Rattus norvegicus: one gene and its partners. The protein of the gene in region 6 purifies or fractionates together with the protein of the main gene of each other region. This does not show direct contact. Links are inferred from orthologs where the notes say so. Each region holds a gene or a part of one and is shown on either strand. Other genes may lie near its edges. The genes, in order: Snrpd1, Snw1, Ncbp1, Srpk1, Acin1, U2af2 and Hnrnpf.

The links.
Region 1: the proteins of U2af2 (region 6) and Snrpd1 fractionate together in Homo sapiens (co-fractionation; 3 studies listed by BioGRID, with this or other methods). This does not show direct contact. The link is inferred for Rattus norvegicus from reciprocal best matches to the Homo sapiens genes U2AF2 and SNRPD1.
Region 2: the proteins of U2af2 (region 6) and Snw1 purify together in Homo sapiens (affinity purification with mass spectrometry; 4 studies listed by BioGRID and IntAct, with this or other methods). This does not show direct contact. The link is inferred for Rattus norvegicus from reciprocal best matches to the Homo sapiens genes U2AF2 and SNW1.
Region 3: the proteins of U2af2 (region 6) and Ncbp1 purify together in Homo sapiens (affinity purification with mass spectrometry; 3 studies listed by BioGRID and IntAct, with this or other methods). This does not show direct contact. The link is inferred for Rattus norvegicus from reciprocal best matches to the Homo sapiens genes U2AF2 and NCBP1.
Region 4: the proteins of U2af2 (region 6) and Srpk1 purify together in Homo sapiens (affinity purification with mass spectrometry; 3 studies listed by BioGRID and IntAct, counting the BioPlex papers as one, with this or other methods). This does not show direct contact. The link is inferred for Rattus norvegicus from reciprocal best matches to the Homo sapiens genes U2AF2 and SRPK1.
Region 5: the proteins of U2af2 (region 6) and Acin1 purify together in Homo sapiens (affinity purification with mass spectrometry; 3 studies listed by BioGRID and IntAct, counting the BioPlex papers as one, with this or other methods). This does not show direct contact. The link is inferred for Rattus norvegicus from reciprocal best matches to the Homo sapiens genes U2AF2 and ACIN1.
Region 7: the proteins of U2af2 (region 6) and Hnrnpf fractionate together in Homo sapiens (co-fractionation; 3 studies listed by BioGRID, with this or other methods). This does not show direct contact. The link is inferred for Rattus norvegicus from reciprocal best matches to the Homo sapiens genes U2AF2 and HNRNPF.

The regions. Positions count from the first base shown.
Region 1 is NC_086036.1:1,968,369-1,972,484, forward strand, and holds the start of Snrpd1 (small nuclear ribonucleoprotein Sm D1), read left to right. Parts: upstream 1-1,305; 5' UTR 1,306-1,422; coding exon 1,423-1,436; intron 1,437-3,946; coding exon 3,947-4,023; intron 4,024-4,116. UniProt on the Homo sapiens protein: Plays a role in pre-mRNA splicing as a core component of the spliceosomal U1, U2, U4 and U5 small nuclear ribonucleoproteins (snRNPs), the building blocks of the spliceosome.
Region 2 is NC_086024.1:112,833,455-112,837,001, reverse strand, and holds part of Snw1 (SNW domain-containing protein 1), read left to right. Parts: intron 1-3,349; coding exon 3,350-3,466; intron 3,467-3,547. UniProt on the Homo sapiens protein: Involved in pre-mRNA splicing as component of the spliceosome. As a component of the minor spliceosome, involved in the splicing of U12-type introns in pre-mRNAs.
Region 3 is NC_086023.1:65,232,132-65,235,631, reverse strand, and holds part of Ncbp1 (nuclear cap-binding protein subunit 1), read right to left. Parts: exon of another isoform or gene 3,319-3,500; coding exon 3,254-3,318; exon of another isoform or gene 3,163-3,253; coding exon of another isoform or gene 3,146-3,162; intron 2,276-3,145; coding exon 2,213-2,275; intron 1,392-2,212; coding exon 1,317-1,391; intron 518-1,316; coding exon 414-517; intron 1-413. UniProt on the Homo sapiens protein: Component of the cap-binding complex (CBC), which binds cotranscriptionally to the 5'-cap of pre-mRNAs and is involved in various processes such as pre-mRNA splicing, translation regulation, nonsense-mediated mRNA decay, RNA-mediated gene silencing (RNAi) by microRNAs (miRNAs) and mRNA export.
Region 4 is NC_086038.1:6,670,290-6,673,836, forward strand, and holds part of Srpk1 (SRSF protein kinase 1), read right to left. Parts: intron 1,538-3,547; coding exon 1,419-1,537; intron 1-1,418. UniProt on the Homo sapiens protein: Serine/arginine-rich protein-specific kinase which specifically phosphorylates its substrates at serine residues located in regions rich in arginine/serine dipeptides, known as RS domains and is involved in the phosphorylation of SR splicing factors and the regulation of splicing.
Region 5 is NC_086033.1:32,114,188-32,118,267, reverse strand, and holds the start of Acin1 (apoptotic chromatin condensation inducer in the nucleus), read left to right. Parts: upstream 1-1,263; 5' UTR 1,264-1,300; coding exon 1,301-1,612; intron 1,613-1,653; coding exon of another isoform or gene 1,654-2,048; intron 2,049-2,059; exon of another isoform or gene 2,060-2,198; intron 2,199-3,018; coding exon 3,019-3,084; intron 3,085-4,080. Other genes in the region: C15h14orf119 (uncharacterized protein C14orf119 homolog), read right to left, coding at 1,654-2,048.
Region 6 is NC_086019.1:77,804,486-77,808,462, forward strand, and holds the start of U2af2 (U2 small nuclear RNA auxiliary factor 2), read right to left. Parts: upstream 2,807-3,977; 5' UTR 2,730-2,806; coding exon 2,681-2,729; intron 1-2,680. UniProt on the Homo sapiens protein: Plays a role in pre-mRNA splicing and 3'-end processing. By recruiting PRPF19 and the PRP19C/Prp19 complex/NTC/Nineteen complex to the RNA polymerase II C-terminal domain (CTD), and thereby pre-mRNA, may couple transcription to splicing.
Region 7 is NC_086022.1:152,767,360-152,771,568, reverse strand, and holds the start of Hnrnpf (heterogeneous nuclear ribonucleoprotein F), read right to left. Parts: upstream 2,841-4,209; 5' UTR 2,587-2,840; intron 1,106-2,586; 5' UTR 1,045-1,105; exon of another isoform or gene 1-1,044.

The DNA of each region.
Region 1 (4,116 bases), on a different chromosome or scaffold from region 6:
TATATTACTGAGGGGGAAAGAGATGGGTTAGAAGGAAGATGACCCCAAGTGGAAAGGGGATTTGTGGGTAAGAGTACCAGTTGCTCAGTATTGGCATTACTGCATTGAGTGATATGCACAAGGTCTCCTTCCTTATAAAGCGCACGTTTTAATGGAGAGAAGCATCTAATTGTTCATGCATATCAATAGAGGACTATAGATTTAAAGAATAAAATAAAATAAAGGACTATAGATTTATCTTGACATTACTAAAATTATTTTGAGTGGAAACTATCAAAATTATCCCTGAGTCACCATGGTCAGCTTCCCAGAATAAAATAGACAAATCACGAGAGAGTTGTCTGAAGCTTTATGACAAGACCTTGGCCTAAGGATGTACCTGACTCTGATTAGCTTGAAATAGACAAGAAATACTCTTAGTTGGGTGAAATCTGGTGATGCATGCTGGCCCCAAACTTGCACCACCATGCCTAGCTCTGAAATAACTTTCACCTGTTTATACCCCACATACCTTCTAACCCTAATCACAAGGACCTATGTGCTTTTCCTGATGCCCAGGCCAATGTATCTGTTGTAAGTCACCCATAAACTGCACACTGCAATTCTGGGCTTCCCTGCCTCCTCCTTTGATCTCATTGACCCGTGGGACCAGTTCCCATACATTGGAACAGGGGCGTTTTGTGACAAAAGCATATTCTATGAAAACAGTATTCTAGATATTGGAGAGCACAGTAAGCAGTTGTATTCCCTTGCTTTCAGACACAACATTCTCCTGAGGACCAAAAATAATACGTTTTAGAATCAAATGATAATAAATTAATATTATCCAAACTTCTTGTGATAGTGGAAATTATTTGCACTATATTTGTAATTATATCAATTGTAGATGTTGTGTTACTAAATTTAACTGTGTGGTTATTGCAAATAAGGAATTGGATTTTTTTAAGTCGAAGGACTTACTATATATAAAATGAAAGGTTTATTTAAAACTCTGTCCAAAGATCTGATTGGCTTAGCTTAGCCAACGAAAGACAACTTGCAGGATTGATTTCCCTGCTTCCAACATGTGGATCCCAAGGATTAGGCTCGGATCTTGGAGGGCTTCTCTCAGAACTTTTCCTCCTTTGACGTGTGAAAGTTCCAGGCCTTCACAACTGGTTTTAATAAATTCATAAGTGGTCTCGGACTCCTGCAGGTGTAGTCCACCAGCCCTTCCGCCCTCCGAAGGCGCAAAGCGCTCCTCCCGTCGCTAGGAGCCGCTGTCGCTCTCCCGGTCGCCGGAAGGCAGCGCGGCTTCCGCGTTCTCGTCGCGCATCCGCAGGTCTCCGCGCGCTCTTCCGGCCATTCATACTCCTAGTCTGTGGGTCTTTGGAGCCTGAATTCCGTGGACAGTTGGACTAGAAGGGAGACTGCGCCGCTAGGATGAAGCTCGTGAGGTGAGGAGGGTTACCTGGCTGGGGGAGAGCGGCGGGTAGAGAGTTTGGGCCAGCTTAGGAGGCCGGGCCGCTGTGCTCCCAGGGAGGCGGGAAAGCCGCGTGCGCGCGGCCTGCTAACGGCCTCCGGCGCCCGGGCCCCGCCGCGCCCTGCTCGTCGCCCAGAACCCTGGGCAAGGGACCGGCGCGTTCAAACCCCCTCCGGTCTTACAGGAATGAAGTGGCCAAGCCGTCTCTGTCCACTTCTCATCCGGCGACTTAAACGGAGCAGTGGTCCCTCCGTTTTCGTGGCGAGTCGGAGCACTTGCAGTGACGAGGATTTAGAAGTAGGATGGTTTTATCTGCAAATAACGACGCCGATTTGCAAGACGTTTTAGATTAAGTTCTCCTTAATTTTGACCGACCAAAGCATGTAACTCGTTAATGTAGGCTTCTGACTCAGGAAAGACAAAGTGTCTCTGGATGGGGCAAAAGGTAACAAGTTAATTTCTCCTGATTGCATAGATTATGTCGGAAGTGGAGCCTAACTAGAGTCTTGTTTGCTGGTTTGATTAATTCCAAACTTACAGACTTGTGGCCAAGTCTGGGGCAGGGTATATAATATCTAAGCCAGTTTTTAGAAATATTTAGTTTCTTGTGTCAAGACCTGTTGTAGTTGACCAGAATGCCTTTGGACACTTTAAAGTGCTTCCCAAGTGCTAGATTACAAGCATACATTTTTCTTGGTTTTGCTCATTAGAAAGTAAATTACTATTTGTGTGTGCTCGTGCACAGGTATGTTATAAGACAATTTTTGGTAATTTGTTTTTGCCTTCCACCAGGGTCTCAGGGATTAAAACTCAGGTCCTCAGCCTTTACAGCAAGTACTTTTTACCTGCTGAGCCAACTTGATGGCCCTGCTCAATATTTTAGTCAATTAATTGATTTTGTTAGTGGTAATGATTGGTTTTGGGGTGAGAGAGTGCGCGAGTGTGCTCCTTGGTTGGCTTGGTGCTCACTGTGTAGACCAGGCTGGCCTTGAATTCACAGAGATCCTCCTGCCTCCGCCTCCCTAGAGCTGTATTAAATGATGCACTACCATGGTTTGATTTAGTTTGGGTTTTGAGATTATATTTATGTGCAGGGTGGAGGGTGCCACAAATTAGGCAGAGGCCGGAGCATCTATGTAAATTCAAGTCCATCCTGATGAATTCCAGGATAGCCAAGGCTACACAGAGAAATCCTGTCTCAAAAAAAAAGAGTTGCATTTATTTATGGGGGAAGTTTGTGTGCACAAAGATGAAAGGACCCGTAGGAGGAGTCGGTTCTCCATTATTGGGATCCTCAGACTTGGCAGCAGCAAGCGTTCACCCTCTGTGCATATATACCGGCTTGCTGTGCTTCTTCCCAACACCCCTCCCCCACCGTTTTTTCTTTTTTTGCATAGATAGAAAATTGGGAGATTGTTAATTGTTACTGGTGAGGGCCTGCATAAATGGGTTTGTAACGGCAGAAAGTTGAAAACATCATTCACAGTGGGGTAGTTGACATTTCCATATAGTAGATTACTATCTAGCTCTTGGAATATTTATTTTTAGGGAATTATCCCCAGTGTAAACTGCTAAATAAGCTCCAAGTACTATTGATGCCATTAAAGAATAGCCTACTTTGTGTAAAGTAGAATCTTACATGTATGCTTGTGGGTTAGAATAATATCCCTGTTTACCAAAATGCAGGAAAAGAGAAGTTCTTTATTTCTACCATGTAATCTTATGCTATCAATTAGAATTCTATTTCCTTTTTGTGTCTGAAAATTAGTCTAGGGTCTTTTGTTTGTTGAGACAATTTCACTGTCACTATGTAAAACAGGCTGGCCTCCAATTCACAGAGACCCATTTGTCTGTCTAGCAAGCACTGGAATTAAAGGATGCACCACCACTCCCAGTGCTACTCCAGGATCTTGAGATATCTTCATTTAAGGTTGTTTTGTAATAGTCTCTTTCTAGTATTCTCTAGTCGGAAGCTCAGGACAGCCCAAGTTTACAGACTCGGGTGAAAGCTTATTTGAGTGCTCTGCAGCCTGTGAGCTGCAGGTGGACCCAGTAACGTCCAAAGATGCCAGAGGAAAGTTTATTGCTTCATTCTTTTATAAGTTTATGAGTTTGGTTCAGAAAAAGTTAAGCACTGTGTATTTATTATGAAGAATTATTTTTAAGATGTTTATTTTATGTGTGAATGTTTTATCTGCATGTATGCATCACAAATTTGCCTGGTGCCTAAGGTCAGCGTAGGCCTCCAGATCCTCTGGGAGCAAAGATAACAAATGTTTGTGAGCTTTCGTGTGAGTTCTGGGACTCAAACTGGGTCCTCTGCAAGAGAGGGGAGTGCTCTGCACTGCTGGTTAGCTATCCAGACCCCATATGAACTGTTGTGGCATTTTAAAGATTTTGATCTCTAGCATTTTTACTCTACCGACTTCATCAAAAGACTTAAAATGTTAAGGTAAAAAATCAGGACTTTATTTCTTTTTATAGATTTTTGATGAAATTGAGTCATGAAACCGTAACCATTGAATTGAAGAATGGAACGCAAGTCCATGGAACAATCACAGGTGAGAAGACTGTTTCTGAAATGTTTTTGTTTAAGGTTTTTTGTTTGTTGTTTTCTTCCTTGTGTTTGTTTAATGAGCGTTGTTCTTTTTGTT
Region 2 (3,547 bases), on a different chromosome or scaffold from region 6:
GGACATTTCTTTTTTTTCTTTTCTTTTTTTTTTTTTTTTTTTATTAACTTGAGTATTTCTTATTTACATTTCGAATGTTATTCCCTTTCCCGGTTTCCGGGCCAACATCCCCCTAATCCCTCCCCTTCTTTATGGGTGTTCCCCTCCCCATCCTCCCCCCATTGCCGCCCTCCCCCCACCAGTCTAGTTCACTGGGGGTTCAGTCTTAGCAGGACCAAGGGCTTCCCCTTCCACTGGTGATCTTACTAGGATATTCATTGCTACCTATGGGGTCAGAGTCCAGGGTCAGTCCATGTATAGTCTTTAGGTAGTGGCTTAGTCCCTGGAAGCTCTGGTTGCTTGGCATTGTTGTACATATGGGGTCTCGAGCCCCTTCAAGCTCTTCCAGTTCTTTCTCTGATTCCTTCAACGGGGATTCTATTCTCAGTTCAGTGGTATGCTGCTGGTATTCGCCTCTGTATTTGCTGTATTCTGGCTGTGTCTCTCAGGAGCGATCTACATCCGGCTCCTGTCGGTCTGCACTTCTTTGCTTCATCCATCTTGTCTAATTGGGTGGCTGTATATGTATGGGCCACATGTGGGGCAGGCTCTGAATGGGTGTTCCTTCAGTCTCTGTTTTAATCTTTGCCTCTCTATTCCCTGCCAAGGGTATTCTTGTTCCCCTTTTAAAGAAGGAGTGAAGCATTTTGATCATCCGTCTTGAGTTTCATGTGTTCTATGCATCTAGGGTAATTCAAGCATTTGGGCTAATAGCCACTTATCAATGAGTGCATACCATGTGTGTTTTTCTGTGATTGGGTTACCTCACTCAGGATGATATTTTCCAGTTCCAACCATTTGTCTATGAATTTCATAAAGGCATTGTTTTTGATAGCTGAGTAATATTCCATTGTGTAGATGTACCACATTTTCTGTATCCATTCCTCTGTTGAAGGGCATCTGGGTTCTTTCCAGCTTCTGGCTATTATAAATAAGGCTGCGATGAACATAGTAGAGCACGTGTCTTTTTTATATGTTGGGGAATCTTGTGGGTATACGCCCAAGAGAGGTATAGCTGGATCCTCAGGTAGTTCAATGTCCAATTTTCTGAGGAACCTCCAGACTGATTTCCAGAATGGTTGTACCAGTCTGCAATCCCACCAACAATGGAGGAGTGTTCCTCTTTCTCCACATCCTCGCCAGCATTTGTTGTCACCTGAGTTTTTGATCTTAGCCATTCTCGCTGGTGTGAGGTGAAATCTCAGGGTTGTTTTGATTTGCATTTCCCTTATGACTAAAGATGTTGAACATTTCTTTAGGTGTTTCTCAGCCATTTGGCATTCCTCAGCTGTGAATTCTTTGTTTAGTTCTGAACCCCATTTTTTAATAGGGTTATTTGTCTCCCTGCAGTCTAACTTCTTGAGTTCTTTGTATATTTTGGATATAAGGCCTCTATCTGTTGTAGGATTGGTAAAGATCTTTTCCCAATCTGTTGGTTGCCGTTTTATCCTAACCACAGTGTCCTTTGCCTTACAGAAGCTTTGCAGTTTTATGAGATCCCATTTGTCGATTCTTGATCTTAGAGCATAAGCCATTGGTGTTTTGTTCAGGAAATTTTTTCCAGTGCCTGGGGACATTTCTTGAAGCCTTAGCTCCTCAGTTAGCTTACCATTCACAATAAGAAATTACAACTCCCGAGAGCAGAGCTTAGTGGACGAGCACACATTTAGCATCTGAACCTGATGTACCCCAAAGACGAGAGACAGCTTCATAGGGCACTTTAAAATACACTAGATGTGTTGCTATACCAGTCCCTTGAATACCATGTAAATCTCTCTGGTATATCATAGCTATCAGAAGCACATAGATGAGAGATAGAGAGAGGGAGGAGGAGAGAGAGAGAGAGAGAGAGAGAGAGAGAGAGAGAGAGAGGGAGAGGGAGAGAGAGAATGAATATGAATATGAATGAGAGAGAATACCCTATTGGTTGAAGATTAATTCTTCATGAAGGTCAAACTTCTAGGTTAGAGTTATTTCCAGAAAAAATATCTCATTGTTCACATGAGAAAGGACAGCATGAGTTTTCAGGGGTAGGGAGGTGGTTAGGGGGGGTTCACTCCTTTGTTTCTTTTTAGCTATTCTGCTGTGTAGCATTGCTGTTCATGGTATTGTCAGGAGTGGTGTTCATGCTTGTGACTCCTGCACACATGAAGCGAAGCAGGGGGATAACAAGTTGAAGGCTACTCTGGACTACATAGCAAGATCTTGTCTGAAAAAATAAGCCCTAAAAATAAAACCTTCTGTTGCAGGGCCTGGTGGCACACTTGAGGTGCAGGCAAGCCAATATCTATAGGTTTGTGGCCAGTCTGGTCTAAGAGTGAGTTTTAGGACAGCCAGAATTGTATAGAGAGACCCAAATACATAGACTCAAAAAACAAACAAACAAAAAATCTTATGTACCTCAGATGCCAGAGCTTCCGGAGTTAGTGAGGGTCTATAAATTATGGGATACATTTCCAAGTTCTAGTTTCTTATAGGATTGGAGTCTACTGCATGAGTCATATTGATGGGTGAAGGCGGAAACTTTAGACCAAGAATTAAATATGAAATTACATAGTCGTGCTCCACTGGAAAGGCTCTGAACCATCTTATGTGGGTTGATTCATATCTATGCAACACTGTGGTCTGTTGAGATGACACTGAAGCACTGTGGGTCTTCATTTATCTATGGATCTTTTTCATATGGTTCTTTATATTTTTGCTTTGGGGCCAAGGTCTCAGTCTGTAGCCTGGAACTTGCTGTGTGGGCCAGACTGGTCCTGAACTTGTAATCTCAACTGTGGTTGCAGACACGTAGCAGCACGCCCAGCCAGCACTGCTTCACGTTAGGAGACAATGGATTTAAGGGTAGCATTTGATAGATGAGTTAGAAATCGGGAAACATAAAGCCAGGCCTGAAAGATATGATTCCAACAGAAGTTCAGCATACTCCCTGGGTACAAGCAGTTTGTCTGCATTCTTAGGACCTAATTTTACTGTAGTCTGACTATTGGACGGCAGGCTTAAACACTTGGGCTCTTGCATCATCATGTTAGTGATCCAGTCTTAGTTCTTCCATTTACTGACTGAATTTGCCACCATCCCTTGGCGCTCTACCCCACCTTCCTGTGAGAGGGAGATGTGTGGCAGCCTCATGCAGTTAACTAGGGTGACTAGAGCATGAACCCTCCATCGAAAGCCTTTACTGTTGTGTAAAGGACGTGAGTGTAAGAGATAGAAATGTGAGTGTTCTCAGAACGGGCATGCGCTAGTAATGTTCTGTGATAACTGCAGCCCCACTGTGCTGACCTGCCTTCGGCTTTCATTTCAGGGGTATACGATTCCACTAGATAAACGGCTGGCTGCTGATGGAAGAGGACTTCAGACTGTCCACATCAATGAAAATTTTGCCAAACTGGCTGAAGCCCTATACATTGCAGATCGGAAGGTTGGTCTTTTACAGTTTGCTGAGTGTTTGTGCATCTGTGAGCCCACATCAGTTTACCTGAGATCTATAGGGACACTGGCA
Region 3 (3,500 bases), on a different chromosome or scaffold from region 6:
TCAATGGACACATGAAGTATAAACCAATCAAACAGTTCCCTCAGCTTGTGTTCATGGCGCTCCATCACAGCAACGGCAACGCTAACTAGGACAAGATGGTAACCAATTCAACAAGTCTCCATCTTAACAAACGCACTTTCAGTCTTAGTACACTCCAGGAAGAATTCCCCTCTGTACAGTACTACTCTTTGTACTGGATTAAAAAGGTCATGTGAAAAACACTGTGAACAGAATAAAACAGAAGGAACCTAAAGCTAACAACAACAACAACAAAATCCTTAATCTAGTGGTTAATGTGAGTCGTTTTTCAAATATAGAAACACGATTCTGAGAACGTCAACCTTCCCTCCTATGGGTAACCAGCTTCCCCGAATGCGTCCATCGGTACTTCCTAAGGAGAGAGTGTTACTTACTGCTACTTTCGTCTCCATACTTGTAAATGCAGGTTGGGTTTGCAGGACACAGAGCTGAGAAGGTGGGAGGAACGATATCTAATATATGCTGATGGTAAGACAACCTACAACATAAACAAGAGTCTCAGAAAGTCTCATGTTTCAGGCTTTGCTAATACTCAACCTGCCCAGAAGCCAGATCTAAGATCCCACAGAGAACAACCAAGACGCAAATGGGGACCAAGTCCTTCCAACCATTGAGAAAGTTAGCATAGGTGAGTGAGCTCAGGCCGCTCAGACACTGACTCTGCAGCGTGCGTTCAGGGAAGACTGCAAGTGAGAATGGGTCGGGTGGAGGTCAGATGGCACGGCTGGGAGGCTGGTCGTGACACGGCAAAGAAATAAGTGGGAGCTAGAAAGAGGCACGCTTTGTCCTGTCCAACAGAGCATTTACATAGTATTTACAATGTTGGGTGTGAAAAGAGGGATATACCGTGCAAGCATGCACACGGTATCTTCCCAAAGGCCTCAACTACCCCTAAAAAATACACATTAAGAGCTTAAATCACAGTTCCCCAAAACATACTCTATCAACTAGAAACTAAAGGCTCTTTAAATAGATGGCTCTCGGAGAGGGCTAAGAAAACACAGATTAGATAAAAACCCAAGTTTAGAAAATAAGAAAATGCTCATCAATGTTGGGAGACATTGAAAAGAATCTTATTGGCTTAATTAACATAAAATCCAAATAGTACAGCAGACTAACTGTAGCCTAAATCTTCATTTAAAAGTGAGTTGGAAGATGGACAAACATTGTAAGTACAAAACAAAGGAGAGAGAAATCCTGTCAGATAATAACCAGTTCCAGCAGTTTCCTTCATGAGAAGCTAAGAGAGCTAAGAGAACAAAATGCAAAGAGCTTACCTCATACATTTCTCTAGAACTTCTCTTACAAACTTTGGTTTGGGACTTTCAAGATCCTGAGTAAGACAATCTGACCTAGGGAGGAAATCTGGATTACGTTAACATGCATAACCTTCAGTTCCTGGTTAGAGGTTTCTCTACCTTTTACCTCATCCACATAGAGTAACTAAATATCAAGAAATACTTGAGACAACAAACTGTTTTAAAGTGAGTTTTAGAGGCTGGTGGTTAAGAGCACTGGCTGACTTCCAGAGGTCCTGAGTTCAATTCCCAGAACCCACATGGTAGCTCATGACCATTTATAAAGGGATCTGATGCTCTCTCCTGGCAAACAGACAGAGCACTCATATATATATATATTTTTTTTTTTAGTTTTAAATATTAAGGTTTTCCTGTGTATGTATGTATTCATGTGCTGCATACATGAGTGTGACCTGTACAGGGAGATCAGAGGATAACCTTGGGCGTTGTTCCCCCAGTGCACCCACTTTGACTTGAGATAGTGTTTCTCGCTAGGCCCAGAACTTACCCATTAGGTTAGGGTGACTGGCCAGTGAGCTTCAGGGATCTGTCAATCTCTATGTCCCTGGTGCTGGGATTAGAAGCCCACATCTCCACAGCTGGCTTTTTTTAAACCCAGGGTCTGACTGAGCAGTGCTAGCTGGTCTGGAACTTGTTATGTAGCTGGCTCCTAACTCTTAGAGATGGGTGTGCCTCTGTCTCCTGGGTGCTGTAATTAAAGGTGTGTGCAACCAAGAAGGGCTCAACATGGGTTTTTTTTAACATGGGCTCTGGAGCTCAATTGGGTCTTTATGTTCGAGTAACAAGCACTTTACTGACTGAGCAATCTCCAATAGTAACTGTTTTCAATAAGGAAGGATAAACCTTACACTTACCAATCTTCCCAGCTCCAGCGGAATTGAAAATTACTTAGATGATGAGAAAACCAATTAATAAACCTACATTGGGGAGTGGAGCAGGGAGAAGAGAAAACAAAGAGTGCAATTTAGACCAGCAGTTTATAAAATCTTAATACAGCTCAACTGTCTCGGGGAACCCCACCCCACCTGTAGTCTTTTGTTTTCTCAACAAAGTCTGACTCCCTGTCCTATGTCCCCAGATTCCTCAGCTCTCACAATGGGGCTCCCTTTTATTCTTGTTAGTGAACAGCCATGAGTAAAGCATGTTTTGTGCAAAATATTTATGTAATTCTCACAGCTATGAAGGAGGATATTAGTTTTTCATGTAACTGTTTATGACATGGAAATAGCTAAAAAAATAAATTGTAGTTAATGTTTACAAATAATTTACAAATGGCAGAATCAGAGTAAGCTTCTCGTGTTTTGCTGGGAATCAAGCATGGGTTCCTGGGAGAGCAGCTAGTGCTGTAACCACTGAGCCTTTTCACCAGCTCTTAGACTCTCAAAGACCTTTTAAGAGTGTAACTACTTCTTCATTTATGTGTTTACACTGCATATCTGTGTACACAGTGCCAGCAGTGCCAGAGGTCAGACGGGTATTGAATCTTCTGGAACTGGAGCAAAGCTTCAGGATGTGCTTGCTGAGAACCAAACTCAGGTCCTCTGAAGAGCAGAACCTGAATTGCTGAGCTCTCCAAGCCCACTACGACCTTTTCAGGACAGCCTATATACCCACTTAAACACACGTAGCTCTCGGGACAGGAAACATCTTAGTGTGTTAAATGATGCCCTGAAGACCATTGGAGTACTCAAATGTTTACAGAACTGGTACTCTATTAGAGACACTGGAAAACACTTTCTTAAAGCACTTCTCTCCAAACTGATTTCAATCATTTGAAATGTTTCAAGGTCATGGACGGGGGTAGTTCTCACTGATAATTTTTGAATATGAGATTCTGAAGATTCCTGAGGCGCTAACATAGCCCTTAGTTGCGACGATGTCACCAATGGCCGTACCTGTCAACACACGTGGTACTCATGGTGTCCAGACGCATGTACAGCATCTCAGTGGCCTGTGCAAGCTGTGACCGGAAGGTAAGGAGAACTACTTCCTACTCTCCTGCCTAAGGACGGTATGTTTCTTTCCTTTTCACATAGCTAATCTTGTTTTTCAAGTTACACTGTCGACGCTGGACAGTAACCCTGACTGCTCCTTTGTATCCACTCCCCCTCAGTCATTTGAGACCTCTCACTGCATCCACCC
Region 4 (3,547 bases), on a different chromosome or scaffold from region 6:
CAGCACAGACGTACCCATGCACCATGGACGTCTGGTAAGAGGAGTTCAATGGGAGCCTCGAGTCCCAGTGTCGCTCAGCTTGGTGTGAGGACGGCATGGGTGAGAATCCACACCAGGTATGTGATATTCTGCGTCAACCTGTGGTCACGGGCTACCACACTGCTGGCCTCTCAAAACCCAACATGTCTATCAAAATCAACCAATCTCCATTTGGTATCTCAAAAATTCAGAGAGAAATAATAACAAATATGATTATAGAAAGGTCTTTCTTCTCAATGTAGGTCAGCACAGTGAGTTCCTGGCCAGCCACGCAGTGACAACCATCCCCAACCACCCCAGGAAAGAAAAAGGGAAAAAAGCAAACAGAAAGTCCGCCTCAGGTCCCAGACAATACATGTCGGCATTTATCTATGCCTGTGGGGGAAAAGGTCCAAGCTCCCCTAGACAGTGAAGCAGATCCTCCAGGGTCTGCCCTCAAGACCCTGGCAAGTCTTATCACAGCAGGGTGGCCACTGAGGCCTGATGGCCCAGTTACACACATCTTAGCAGCTGTCACCTGGACAGAGAGGATTACAGTAGTTAAAAACCAAACAAACACCAACAGCCAGGGCTGTTACACAGAGAAACCCTGTCTCAAAAAACAAAAACAAAAACAAAAACAAAAAACCAAAAAAACAAAAAACAGGGCTGGAGAGATGGCTCAGTGGTTAGAGCACTGACTGCTCTTCCAGAGGTCCTGAGTTCAAATCCCAGCAACCACATGGTGGCTCACAACCATCTGTAATGGGATTTGATGCCCTCTTCTGGTGTCTGAGGACAACAACGGTGTACTCACATACAAACATAAATAAATCTTAAAAAACAAAAAACAAACAACAAAAACAAAAACAAATCTATATACCAGCTGAGCTGAGTGTGGCGACACACACCTATTATCCCGGCACACACAGACTGTGCTTACACAGCCAGCTCTGGTATCTATCTGTTCACCACACCTCTGAAATTTTCGTAGGTAAGCATATCCTGTCAATTTTCAAAGAGGAAAAGATTTCTTTCCTTCCTTTTAAATTAGTGCTAGTCAGTTACAGAATCTCTACATGTCTCATAGCTCTGGCTGTCCTGAAATTCATTCTGCAGATCAGAATGGCCTCGACTCAGAGATCTGCCTGCCCTTGCCTCGAGAGTGCTAGGATTGAAGGTGTGTCACCCTGCCCAGCCTGGAAAACACATTTTAAAGGGGCTGAGTGCAAGAATGTAACCCCAGGCTCTGGTCAGGCCCTAGCAGGGTCAACAAGCTTAAAAACGCAATATAACCCAACTAAGAGCAAAACCCCATTTCCTGCATCTTGATCAAAGGACAGAGCAAGGCGGTCACATCAGGACGCACTGATCACCGCACTGGACAGGCAAGCACACACCTTTACAGTAGTCGTTAGGGTCTTCCTGTTCATCATCATCAGACCCCAGAATCTCCTCCTCCTGCTCGGGGATGTCGCTCTCGGAGTGGGGTGCAGAGCCTCGGTGCTGGGTTTCAGGCCTAAGAAACAATAACATGTTCACTCCATATGCACAGAAAACAAAGAGTGAGCTTAAGAAATGTCATTAGCAGCCCCTCACACCAACACCAGAGGCAGCCTCACAAAGCGGCAGTTAGTGGTCTATAATAACTAAGACTATCAACATCCAAGCATAATCCCGAGAAAGCCATTACATTTTCTTCACCTTGCAGTTTTAAAGATAGTTTTAAGTATTTTTATACACTCCAGAAACAACTTTGTCCCCTGCTTTTACACCGCCAAGTCACCCCAGAGTTGAGCTTCCCTGAGGTGGAACACTACAGACCCTGGCATTCCAGTCAGCTAGTTCTGAATTTCACTCTGAGCACATAGCTCTCCATGCAGTGAGGTCCGACACCTCAAGCTGGCTGCCTGACATATGGGGTCCAAGTCAGACAGCATGCTGCCTTTCGCTGCCAGCCTCACTGGCCTGCCTGGGCTGGCTTCAAACTGCTGGGATGAAGCCTTCTCCCTGTCCAGCCCCAAGTGCCTGTAACAACTGCCTCAAGCCACTGCGTTGACAGCTTTAACAGCTATAGGGAGCTCCACAGGAAAGTAGATATTACAGTTTCAATAACAAGGACTACAACTGTGAAATTTTTAAAAATTAATGAGGGCTGGAGAAATGGCTCAGAGATTAAGAGCACTGACTGCTTTTCCAGAGGTTTTGAGTTCAATTCTCAGCAACCACATGGTGGCTCACAACCATATGTAATGGGATCTGATACCCTCTTCTGACCTGCAGGCATACATGCAGGCAGAATGCTGTATACATGATGGATGGATGGATGGATGGATGGATAATTCAAGGCAGTGCAGTTCCTAGAGAAAGGACCTGGGAGGCAGTGGGTGGCATAGAAATAGTGAAGGAGGAGCCTGTGAGATGGGTGGCTGGAATATTAGGGAGACAACTCTAAGGAGGAGAAGCAGAAAGCTACCTAGAAAGAATGCAGCTGGTGGAGCACTGCGAGCCCAGTCTAGCAGACAGCCTGGAGAGTCCTCCAACTAAGAGGACTTAAATAAGCAATCTCCCCAAGCTGAGCAGCCCCAGCTCTCAAAGGGGCCCAAGGACTTAATGAGACGCATTCACAGAACATTTAGCACTTTGGTGAGTCCTATATTCCCAGCACTCTGGAAAGAGGCTTAGCCCTCCTTTAGACTCAGGAGGCTACAGGGCTACAGATCAATACATTTTATAGACTGACAGTCAAGTATAAAGCTAAAATAAAGATCTGAGGAGATCTTCATGTAGCTCCTGTTCTTGAAACATGACTACTGATAAAGAGCGCAGAAGCAAATGAGTGAGTGGAGGGAGGGAGAGCGTGCACACTGACAGGCACGGTGGACGCGCTCTCTGCACCTGTGTGGGGACACCTGAACTTGATGTTACCGGATGATTTCTATACTAAGTCTTGACTCCTTTGCTTTTTTAAATAGTTTGTTTTATTTCATGTGCACTGTTGCTCTGCCTGCGTATGTCTGTATGCAGGCATGAGACCCCCTGGAACTGGAGTTACAAACAGTTGTGAGCTGCTGTCATGTGGGTGCTGGGAACTGAACTGGGGTTCTCTGGAAGGGCAGCCATGTTCTTATAAGCCATCTCTACAGGCCCAAGTCTTGAATTCTATAACTGACAGTGGAACTTCACTCAGTTTTGTAAGTCATATTATTCCCATGTTGCTTATAGGAGTCTTTTAAAGATTATCTGTCTGTCTGTCTGTCTGTCTGTCTATCTATCTATCTATCTAGATATAGATGAGTACCCTGTAGCTGTCTTCAGACACACCAGAAGAGGGCATCAGATCTCATTACAGATGGTTGTGAGCCACCATGTGGTTGCTGGGAATTGAACTCAGGACCTCTGGAAGAGCAGTCAGTGCCCTTAACCTCTGAGCCATCTCTCTAGCCCATCTTAAATTCTAAAATCATTCAAGATTTTTAATAATGCCTCCACATTACACCAAAAAACACCACAAAATTAGGCAAAGCTT
Region 5 (4,080 bases), on a different chromosome or scaffold from region 6:
AGGCAAGAACCTTCTGTTCAAAGTACAAGCAACTGGTCCCAACCTAAATGCTGATTTTCCCACAGTTCCCCACTGTGTGTGTGTGTGGGACGTAGGGGGTGGTCATGAGACAAGAACCTACTGTACAGTGTATGAACCACCTCTGAAACCTGTAAAAAATGTTTATGTTCTATGACCCCCTTATTAAATTCTCTACCACACTAGTAAATTTTGGAGCAGGCTAGGTAAAGTTCTTGTCTCAAGGTAAGGTAAGGGTTAGAAAATCAGAAGCCACTTTATTAAAGTTCTGAAGAAAGTCCTTTTGCTTCTTTCTTGACTTAGGTAACCTAAAAAGTGTGATACGGATGCACACGTGTCTCTCAACAGTTTTCCTTAAAGCTTTATGCCTACAAGTACCACTCATTTTGCATCATGGATGCAAGTGTCAGCCAACTTATTCCAAAATACTTTAGTCCTACAGTTTGTATCTCCAACAAGGAAAACCTTCAACTCTCTAGGACCTAAATTTCTACCTGTTCTTACTTCTCCGAGTTGGAAAATTTGTATCCATGAAGAAAAGAATACCTAAACGTCAGTTCTAAGTCCCGGTTCAGGGTGACTGCCAGTTTCAAAGTGGCCCTACAGGGAGAAGTTTCTCCTAAAACTTCTCTTTTTCAGAGAAAGGGAATTATTTACCCAGGCTTTTTTACATTTACATGGCTTCCACTGTAAACTTAAATTCGATGTCATTAATAAATTTGCTGTCTGAGATCAAAGACACAATGCTACTTTTTCCCACGTTTGGAAGCAGCAGGTCTCTTATTCCTTAGCCACACAGGACAAAGCATTTCTTAGACCGAGTGGCTGGGATATAGAGGATGGGGACCACAGAGATTTCGCCAGGAAGCAGAAGGGTTCCCCAAAAGAAAACATTCAGACACCAAGTCTTATCCGGCCTAGGAGAAATTTCTTTTCCTCTTACCTCCCTTTTCCCCTTGGAGGGCGCCCAGAGATCACAAGAGTGCTTCAGCTCCTGCTCCAATTCCCCGAGTCTCTTCCATGTTTCCGGAAAACCCTAAGTACAGCCAGCCCCAGTAACCCACGCACTTCCGGTCCGGAACCAGCCCCAAGTACCCAAGTGCCCCAGCGCCTCAGCCCTCAAGTCCGGAGATAGCCGAATATCTCCGATTATGGGTATGCCAGATTCGAGGGCTTCCGAATAGATTCGATTCAAAGCCTCGGCAAGACGAAAACAAACGAACCTGAAAGTAAAATGGGAGGAGCCGGCCGCTAGGCAGATGGAAAAAGCCGATTGGTACCGATGTGGAGACGGAAACGACCGAACAGTTCCGGAGGAACCCGGGGAATTCTGAGCGGTAATAGAGGGGTAGACTATGGCAGTGGGCGGGGCCAGTTCGGTACGTTCGAAGGGCGTTGGCGGAAATTACCGAAGATGCCCGAAGCCGTCGGGACGGACCCGAGTACCTCACGCAAGATGGCGGAGCTGGAGGAGGTGACTCTGGACGGGAAGCCTCTTCAGGCTCTGCGGGTGACCGACCTGAAGGCCGCACTGGAGCAGCGAGGCCTAGCCAAGAGCGGGCAGAAGAGTGCCCTGGTCAAGCGGCTCAAAGGGGTGAGAAGTCAGCGTTGCCGAGGTGTCGGAGGGGAGCGGACCTGGTAGAGACGAGTCTCCGCTGCGGCGCAGGCGCAGTGTCCGGGCTCGGCGCGAGCTCTCTCAGGCCGCCAGCGCGAGCCTGCAGATCCACGCGCACGGTGGTTGGTGTGGCTGGCGCTGGAATAGAGATAACGCCGGTTCCCGCCTTAACGGCAGCAGCGCGAGCCCAAAATGGGAGGGTGCGCGCTACTCTCCCGGAGTGTCTTAAGCTCCTTCCTTCTTCCCCCACCCCCTCCTTGTTTGTGTCTGTGTTTTCGGCGCATGCGCTGCAGAAGGAGTTAAATCCCTCTACAACCACCGGTGTGGCTGGCCTTAAGGGGGCGAGCAGGGCTGTGTCCGAGTTAGGGATACAGTTGGGCGGATGGGGTTGGTGTCTGTGTCTGCAGTAGTACATTTTGGATAGGGTAAAAAATGTCCGCTTGACTAGATTAAAACCTTAGATGAAGGAAAACCTTGATAGAAGGACTTGTCAGAGACGGGTGTCTAATTTATAGGGAATCGAGAAACAGTCTGGATAAGAATTTGGTGAATATTGGTGCGAGAGGTGAGACAGATTACTTTAGGCTGGGGATTTTGTATCGGTTTGAGCAGTGAGAATGAGCTTGTTGTCGTGAGGTATACATACTGTGTATTGGTTTGGTGTAAATGGAGGGAAGGAAGGTGAGAAGGACTAGTGTAATTTGAGTTCATTAGGGTACGTGGCTCATAATACTGATAGGGACTCGGTCAGTTCAGGCTTTGAGTTGACAGACCGTTGCTTATCCCGAAGCTGACAGTTTGTGGGTGGGTGTGGATTAGGTCAGACCACAGGTTACAAGGTCTGTGGTTAGTTTCTCGGTGAAGTTTTTAGTACATTTGATTTGTCTGGGTGTCAACACTGATGGAAATTGTGCAGGTTCATTTAAGTAGTTTTAGTTCTGAAAATCAAATAATAGTCAAATCTAAATTAGCAGCCTAGTGTTGGTTTCATGTAATTTGAAACTTGTTTGAGTACTTGTAATTTTTTTTGCCTGTATTACCAGATTTAAAAGTGGCTCCTAGTCAAAATTACAGACAATAACAGGGGTTCTAGTTCTGATTCTGCCACTTTTGCTGATTTTTTTGTGACATAGCCAGGTCACTGATTCTTTGTGTGCCTGTATTTTACATCCGTATACTTGGGAGCAGTAACCATGGCTACCTTTAAGCGACTTATGAAGATGAATGAGAACAATATTAATAAAGCGCTTTTAGGCTCTGTGAAAGGAATGTAGTATAAATGTATATTTAAGTAATTTAGTGAAAAGGCTGTGGGAGAGGTAGAGATCTGGAGTGCTTTTTTGTTCCCCCTCCTGGTTTCTGATTTTTGCTCTTCTTTATACCAGGCTCTAATGCTAGAAAATTTACAAAAACACTCAACACCCCATGCTGCATTCCAGCCAAATTCTCAGGTAAGAAAAAAGGTTTGTTTAGATAGAATGGGCTATTTGGAGAAAATGGTAAATGGGAAGACTTGGTGTCTTCCATGTTTATCAGAAACAGAATTTTCTTGTTTTTTTATTGCAAGTGATCTCAGTTACTGGGTTTTTGTTTTGTTTGTTTTTGTTTTGTTTTTTTAAGGTCTGTTTTTATTTTATGTGTGTGGGTGATTTGCCTCCAACGGGTGCCCACAGAGGCCAGGAGAGAATGTCAGATCCTCTGCAACTGGAGTTACAGACAGCTGTGAGCCACCATGTGGGTGCTGAATCGAACCTGGGTCCTCTATAAACGCAGCCAGTGTCTTAACCATTGAGCTATCTCTCCAGCCCTCAGACAGTTGAATTCTAATCACCCTCAATTTTGCATAAAGACCTGGAGTTTTAAAAAAAAGAAAAGAAAAAAATATATATATATAAATAAAATCAAAGGAGCACTGAATGAATTTTGAATTCTTGGAGTGTGTCAAAAGTATCACTCTGGGGGTTGGGGATTTAGCTCAGTGGTAGAGCGCTTGCCTAGGAAGCGCAAGGCCCTGGGTTCGGTCCCCAGCTCCGAAAAAAAGAACCAAAAAAAAAAAAAAAGTATCACTCTGATTAAGTGTGCCACAAGAATCTGAAGTCACTTGCCATCAGCTTAGGGGAAAGTTATCTTTGAATATAGATCTTTGAATATAGATGTAACAAAATACTTTTTCATCAAGAACTCTTTTATTGGTACAAATTTACTTTAAAGAATTTGATACTGTATTAATAAACCCTTATTTCTAGGACTAACTCTTAAACATCCTTAAAACCTTGATGACTTAGGACAAGGTACTTAACACTTAGAGACCTTTGTTTCTTTACCCGAAATAGGAAAAGTAGTTTGACTTAGTTCATGGTTTTATAACTGCTCTGCTGGGGTGTCTTAGGGGAAAAAACTTTGTTCTAAGAGTTCCTGCATAAACGTTTTTGTGGTTGTTGTTGTGG
Region 6 (3,977 bases):
TGAGGCACAGGGAGATCATGACTTGCTCAAAGCCCAACAGCTGGGCAACAGTGAAGCCAAGACTGAAATTGTAATGCCACTAAGTTAGGTACCAGGCTGTAGTCTCAAACGAAGACCAAGCAGAACACTCATTACAGAGTCTGGGTTCAACTACTAACAGCAAAGAATGTGCATGTACATGTAAAGAATAAAATAATCAAGAGCTAGACAGGGGCAAGAACTGTGGAATATTGAGACAAGCACAGCTCTGGCTCCACACCAGGAAGAGGGGCTACTTACAAATCCCAAATGTCTTCCCTCCCGCTAAGTCTCAAAAGCAAAAACAACAAACTCCAAAAATGACATGACAACACCAGGTGTCTAGGACACAAACTTCCTGTAAACTTAGGGAACTAAGAAGGGGGCTAAAGCTAAGAGATACAGTGAGTCTGGGTCAGAGACAAATACCCACAGGCAGGCAAGGTGACAAGATGGTCAAGCTTTCTTCCAGCAAGGCAAGAACCTTCTCCCACATACTGATGCTGGACCGTTAAAAGGAAACTTCATTTGCTCAAAATGCTATACTCTAGCTGTCTTATGCACATAGCTCCAATAATCGACCCTTATAGGCTGGGTCTCAGGCCCCGTTGCCAACATCAGAAGGGACACTCTAGAACTAGTATCACAGCCTCAAAAAACAGCTAAAGCAGCTCCACTTGAACCACCTGAACCACAAGGAACTGGCTTTGCAGTCAGAGCTCTACACAAAAGCAGGAACTTAGCTTTAACATCCAGTTTTTCTTTCTTTGAATGAAGGTCACATCTACATTACCAAGGTCTTATAGGAATAACATTTGGCATCCACTTTCCCCACCCTTCTACAACTCGACACCAGTCTAGTTAGGTATTTAGCATAATCCAAGCCACACAATCTATATACACTCTGCTCCATTTAAACTCAGCTCCAGCTTTCCACTGACTAATGCCTGGAGCTTTTTTTCTTAAGAGAAAAAACAAAAACTTTATAAGCCCTAGTTTACTGCTCAATAAACAGAAAGCTAGTATGTCCTCAGAAGGCTGTTACAAATGATTCACTTAAGACTGTTTAGAGCATGATGGTGGCTCAAGTCTCATGCAGAAGGCAGAGGCAGGAGAACCTCTGTTGAGTAGGACAAGTTCAAGGACTCAAGGACAGCTGGGGCTATACAGAGAAACCTTGTGGAAGGAAGGAAGGAAGGAAGGAAGGAAGGAAGGAAGGAAGGGAGGGAGGGAGGGAGGGAGGGAGGGAGGGAGATTTTAAGAGTTTAACAAATTTCCTTGCCCTGACACATGGTAAGGCCTGAGTTTAATCACAACTATAGTCAGTATGTACCACCATTACTAATTTCAAAAACCCAGTAAACAGAGCAGTGATGATCAGCATACACCTAACAAATTACCATACATAAAGATATTTGAACTCAGGTATATTCAATTTCTAAGGCCTATACTTTTAAACAGTACACTACTCAAAGCAGAAAAGCTCAACAAGGGCACTCAGAATAATTACTTTTTCCACATGTACTGTTTCAACTACTCTCTCAATTCCAGCTTCATTTCGAAGAATTCTGAAGGTCTCACCGAATGCCCCAACACAAGGCAGCTTAAGTCTCAATCCTTAAGAAATTTGAGCTCTTCAGTCTCAAAAAAGGAGGTTGTAGAGATGTCTTATATCTTATATATAACTCAACTCTTTCCTCGGGATTCCTAAATCCATCAGCACCAACATAGCCTGACTGCCTTTCTGATCCAAATTCATAGTACAGGATCTTACTTTAGGAGCACCTGCCTCTACTAACCTACTAATGGGCCAGCTCCCTACTTCCCATTTGCTTGACTATTTTATTATTATTTTATTATCCCTACAGTATGATTGGATTTAGGTGTCCGAGTTTGGAATGATACAGGACCTGGGCTTTGCCTAAAACCAAAAGGTTTAGGGAGTGTTAGGGATATGAAAAACAGATGTCGGCCGCCCAAACTCCAAGGCATATATGATTTATGCTCAGCAGGGGCACAAAGAACGCAGAGACTTCCCTCTTTGGCGGGCAAACAGGTGTAGGACACATTTTTATCTAAGACGCCACAAAACCGGAGGCTGAGACAGAAACATCGAGACAGGAGAGTTCTGGAGAAATCGAAAAGTATGAACAGGCTCGAAACCTACAAGCACCTAGTGATTGCAGCGCCAGTCCACGTGAAGGAGGGGGGGGGAGAGAGTGTGCTTCACCACCGCCATTTTGGAAACAAAGGGGGCGTGGAGAAAGGAAAAGTACGCCCGACCGGAAGCGGAAGTGCGAAGGCAGCAAAAGAAAAAGAATTGAGACCTAAATTCATGTCTTTCTCAAGTAAAAGACAAAAATTTAAAACAACAACAAAAAAGATGCACAAAGAGGAATGCGGCGCGCCCTCAATGCGCCTACTTGACAAAACGCGCCGCCTCCACCGAGACCACGTGGGCGCGGGATATTGCGGCGCGCACGCGCCGTGAGCCTCGCCCGCCACCCCTTCCCTCAGCGCCAAGGGGAGGTCACGTGAGCTAGGCGCGCGCGGCACGGGGGGGGGGGTAAATCGTGCGGCCCTAGGGAAGGGAACAAGAGAAATGGCAGGGGGGGCGCACAGGGCGAAGCAAGAAGCCACCCCACAACCCCAGCGCCCTCACCTTGTTTATTCTCGTTGAGCTGCCGCTCGAACTCGTCGAAGTCCGACATGCTTAGGCGGCCGCGTAGGGCCCTGTGCAGCTCTCGCCTCGCCTTGCCGCCCGCCCGCTCCGGCTACTTCCGCCGCTGGCTTCGGCTACTTCCGGCCCCCGCCGGCACTCCGTCGCCTACCTAAGCAAGCCCCAAGCCCCGCCCCGTCCCGACTCCACCCCCTCGTCCCGCCCGCCCCACCCCCCCTCGAACTTCCCCGAGCTCAGATCCGAAGCCTGTCGGCTATTCTCGGAGAGAGAAGTCTGCAGACGACGGTCGCCCTCGAAATCACCCGAAGCGAGGATTTTTGCCGGCTGCCCAAGTTGCGGTAACTTTTCGGAGACTAGCGTTTCAACGTTCGGAGGATTCCGTGGGTCCTCGCGTTCCCCTACACCAGCCTCCTCTAAAGATACGGGTTTTCCTACAACTCAAACCGTCTCAGTCTCTGGCCGCCTCTGGAAATTAGTCCCACCCCTCGCCGACCCTGTTCAAGCGGTCAGTCACTTCCAACAATCCTAACCGTCCAGGCCTTCGGCTCTTCCGAAGGTTTCCAGCGCTCGCTCACCGCCCCTCTAGAGATTAAACCCGATTGTAATCTTCGGCTCTTTCCGGAGGTTCGACAGGGTCACTCCGCCCCTTCCGGAGAATATCGTTCCCTTCCGCCACTGCTTCAGGAAGGCCTCCAGCACGGAGGGGGGGAAATTCGGCTTTTTCCGCTGTTGTTTCGGCTCCTTTCGGCTTAAAGAACCGAAAAGGGAGGGAGGACAGATGAGAGGTGGGCCAGATGGCTATAGTGGACGGGGCGGAGTCTCAGCTTTGGCACTTAGCTCTCTAGAAAACTGAAAAAACTGACCTCGCGGAAGGCCAGAGAAGGTGTACGGGACAATAGCAGCCAGTTGAACAAAGGGTGTTCGAGGACGCGGCGGAGGTTGTTAGCGCAGCTTGGGACTCCTGCGCACAGTGATTTGAGAGGGGTTTCTGCGCCTGCGTAGCGGTCAGAGGCACGTTTTTCTCCGCTCTCGGGAGGATCCGCCATTCTAAATCCACATTGCGCGTGCGCACGATCTCCTCCAACATACCTCTACCCCCACCCCCAACCTTAGCCCCGTAGACACTAACTTCAAGACGGTTTAACCAGCCTGCCCTCTCCCGGTTGCCATGGCAATCGCGTTAAATCGTCCGCCCCTGCTCCTGCTGCGCAACCGCAGAACGTGCCACCTACGAGAAATCTAACCCCGGGCGGACGGAAACGAGTCTACACAGCGCCCC
Region 7 (4,209 bases), on a different chromosome or scaffold from region 6:
ATAAACTCCCCCAGGCAAACAAAATACTCCTCTACTGAGCCATAAATCCTCTGAGCCACTTTTAAATGATTCAACTGTGTGTCTAGTTGCTTAGGCTGACCATAATAATAAACTTAAGACCTTTTGCCTCACCACCTCCTGGTAGATGGAATTGCAGCCTTGTGTTGCCACAGGGACTCGTTCAAAATTCCTGACTCCTATATTCCTAGCGTCTCTTAACTCTAATGAAAACACTTACACTCCCTGCTACTCTATCACAATCTTAAGATTTATCTAACAACTGTAACCCAATTATGTCAATGCCCCACTTCTAAGCCCTATTTCCCATTGGTTATTAGAACAGAGACTGAACTAAAAGAATCCTTGGATCCTACAGACATTCTTAATCTATATCCATCATTCTTTTTTACTCCTTAGTTCCTTTAATTTCCCCACTGTTCCCTGGAGGATTTGACACATCAAATAATTCTCCACCCAAATATCCTCTGCCCAACCTTGTCCAGCTAAACCTTGATAATCCTCTGGGTTATCTAAGCGCAACTACCATTCCAATAACATCTTCTCACGTCCCACAATAAGTCTGACTTTCTACTTTCATAACAACCTTCTCTGTAGTTTTAAAAGGTCTTCAAAACTACACTGGGACCCTACTTAGGACAATTTTGTTGTCCAATACTTCATCCTTAGCAGAGGGAACAGACCACAGCAGGTCAAGGATTAGCTAGGGATTTACTGTCCACCTAGGGTCAACACCTTCCTTCAGAGTATAGCAGCTTAGTCAAAGCTAAAAACATGTAAGAAGCATAAGGAACAAGTACTTTATAAGCAGTTTCAGCAACAGGGGAAGAAAGCATTCTTTTCTGTAACATGTCAACCAACACCTACAGCTTGCTTTTACTCACCCCCCCAAGAAGTTCATAGTTCTTTAGTTTGACTTAACTGTAAACTCACCAAGCATTTAAAACTGACAGTTCTTCAAAGAAAACTAAACTTTGCTTAACAAATTAATCGTCTTACAGTTAAATGTATCTTTTAGTAGCTTACCTTAAAGAACCACCACAGATGCCTTCTGTAGGAAACACAGAATGGAAGATAACAAGTTTTCCTTAAAAAATAAAAACAAACACAAAACCCAAGATTGGTCTCGTGGCCTCAGATTCCATTCATCATCGTACAGAAGGGGACCTCCTGGGAGCTAGGCTCAGAGCAAGCTAAGTTTCTTTCTCAAATCCAGAAATACATTGTAGCCCTAGGACCAACATATTTAGGTTTCCTGGTTATTTATATTTCATCTTTTCATGGGTAGAGGACATCAGCAAACAACTTAGCAGAACTAATTTAAGCTTAGTTTAAATGTAGGAGAAACTTAAAATTTAAATAGAGCAGGGATCTAGTGGGCACTTTATGCCAAGACTTCCAACCCTTTCAGTAGCATAGGCATCCAGGCCAGCATGAATTTCCTCTGGAAATGAAAAAACACTCCTGTTATTTATCTTCTCCATGCTGGAGGTGGGGAAGGGTCTCCAATGCCTTTTGCTTTATCATAACCTATGTGACAAAGCTTCTCCCAAATGGTGAGGAAAGGGGTTGAATCCTATGACAAATTATGCTGCATTCTTCGTTTTGGAAATGTGGTAGGCTATTCTGCCTGTTGTCTTAAAATAGGGGTAACTGCAGTTGCATTGTCTCATTTTCCAAAATTATGCAAGATATTGGGGTGTCGGTGCTAAAAACCCATTTTGAAAATAGTTTCAAAGACCCTGAAACAGGGCTTCACTTTAATGAGTTTCAACCATATTCCTGTCCATGAAATTCTAATGACTCGATCCCCTTTTTCCAACCTTTTACTTCTAGTGTGGTAGACAATACCTGTGGGCCTCCCTGGAGACACTATACTGCATGCAGCTAGCAGCTAGACCTACATTAAGCCACTGGCACGAGACCCGTGAACATGTGAACTGTGGAGACATGCCCAGTAAAAGAGAAGATGGCATGGCGGGTCTTTGTAAGTACTGTTAGAACACCCAGACATTTGATTTTAATTGCAAGACACGCTACTGAAACCATTTGCATCATTTTGGGCGACTGACTCCTATACTATAGCCAGGCTAGGCCTACATTTCCACAAGTTAAACACTAAAGAAAATGCACTATTAAAATAAACAAACAGGCTGAGACTTTTTTCTAACAAGCTACCCAGTCAGTGATACTGGTTAAACTGGATTTTCACTGCCTTCAGGTAGATCCAGGTAAGATAAAAGAGGTGCGCCCTCTGAATCCTGGACTAGTTAAGTTTATCGGCTGAACAAACAGGGCGGCTCAAGCGCCACCCACCTAGTTCTTTTGTTCAGGCCCGCTTGGTGGGAGCCTTGCTGCACCCTCCTCTATGCATCTTTGTGTTCCAGGAAGTCGCCGGAGTTTTCATTGGGAGCCCGCCCTCATCCTCCCTCCATTTTGTAAATGAGTTTTAACCTCCGGAACGCCGGGAGCGCATCCAGGCAGGTTTTCTTACTCAGAAAGTTCTACTCTTAAGACCAGGAGAGCCGCGGCTTCAAAGCTGCTGCCTTTTTCTGCTCTGAAACTTACCACGGGAGGAAGGTAGAAGTGACTTCTATTTTCAATAACGAACGCGGCTTACGAACCCCAACTCCACCCGACGCCTTAAAAACGCAGAGGGCTCCGGGGAAAGTCCAGGTGCATCTTCTTTTTGTTCTCAACCTGAAATGGAAGTTCAAATGACCAGGGGAAACGCTTTTGCGGAAGCGGAGCCCCTTGAGACGAGCGTTTTGGCGGGAAGCAGGGCGGAGGGCAAGGTGACGCTGCTCCGCGGCCTTCGCCCGGTAGTCGACCGCGCCGCGCAGCGAGCGCCGGCCGGGCAGGAAGGTCCGCCCCGGGGCTTGCGCGGGCTCGGGCGGGAGCTTCCGGGCGGGGGCGGGGGGAAGGGAGGCTCCTGAGCCTCGGAGGGTGGGGGAGGGGAAGATCCAGAGGGCGGGGAAGAGGGCTGGAGTAAGAACTCGCGCAGGCCGAAGCGTGGAAAAGCTCGAAGAGGGAAACTTCTAAGGTGAGCAGGTCAAGTACGCAGCCGGTAACCTGGGGCTCGGGCGGGAAGCGGGGCTCACCACGCCGAGACGGGCGTTCGAGTCCGGAGTCCGGGAAGCAGCAGCCGCGTGATCTACAGCGGCAGTCGGACTCGGGTCACGGGGTGTAGAGGAGGAAGTGCCCTGCCGGGCCCGCCAATATGTCACCAATGAGAAAAGCGTGCCTGCAGGTGTGGCCCGCGAACGGTGGGTTTGGCCGGCGCCGGAAGTGGGGGAAGGAGGGAAAGGAAAGGGGAAGACTCCTCGCTGAGTTCTGGGTAAAGGAGCCACCTGAGCAAAGTACAGACTACCCGCTACAGTTGGAAAGGCGAATGCAACGAAGCGTTGACAGACTCAGCCAAGTAAAACCAAATCAACTCGGAGTACAGAATGGAAACCTGCAGACACTCTACACTTTTTTCATTTGCCCGCCGACTCCACGATAACCTAACTTTTAAAAACTCCCGACTCGACTTGGTGGCGGCACGCCTTTAATCCCATCATTTAGCCTTGTCTCAAATTTTTTTACATAAACTAATGACCGGTATGGTACATACATTTTTTTAATACCATCACTCTGGAGGCAGAGCCAAGCTGATTTCGAGACCTGCCGGGACTACTCGAGTTCCCTCAGAGCCCTAGAGGCTGACTAGGTTTGGATCCCTAGTATCGCCGTAGTGGAAGGAGTGCTTGACTTTTAAACCTAAGTTGGCCCATATGTATAAAAATGAACCTTATAGGGGCTGGAGAGATGGCTCAGCAGTTAAGAGCACTGAGTTCAATTCCCAGCAACCACGCGGTGGCTCACAACCATTTCTAACAGATTCTGGTGTATCTCAAGACAGCTACAATGTACTCATATACGTTAAATAAATATTTTAAAAAATGAACCTTATAAAATCTACACCCAACAGGCAACCACAAATCTTAATTCAAAGCAATTGGCCTCTGAAATAATCCAGTCACTTCTCATTTTTTTTTGAGGGCCCAGAAAAAATGGGGCAAGGCACTAGTCACCTAGCTTGTTTGACACCTGAGTGGAGAACCATCCACAGACCCACAGAAGAGAAAGGGCAAAAGTTGTTCTCTGACCTAAGCACCTGTAGAGAAAACCCCGGCAAGCACTACTATA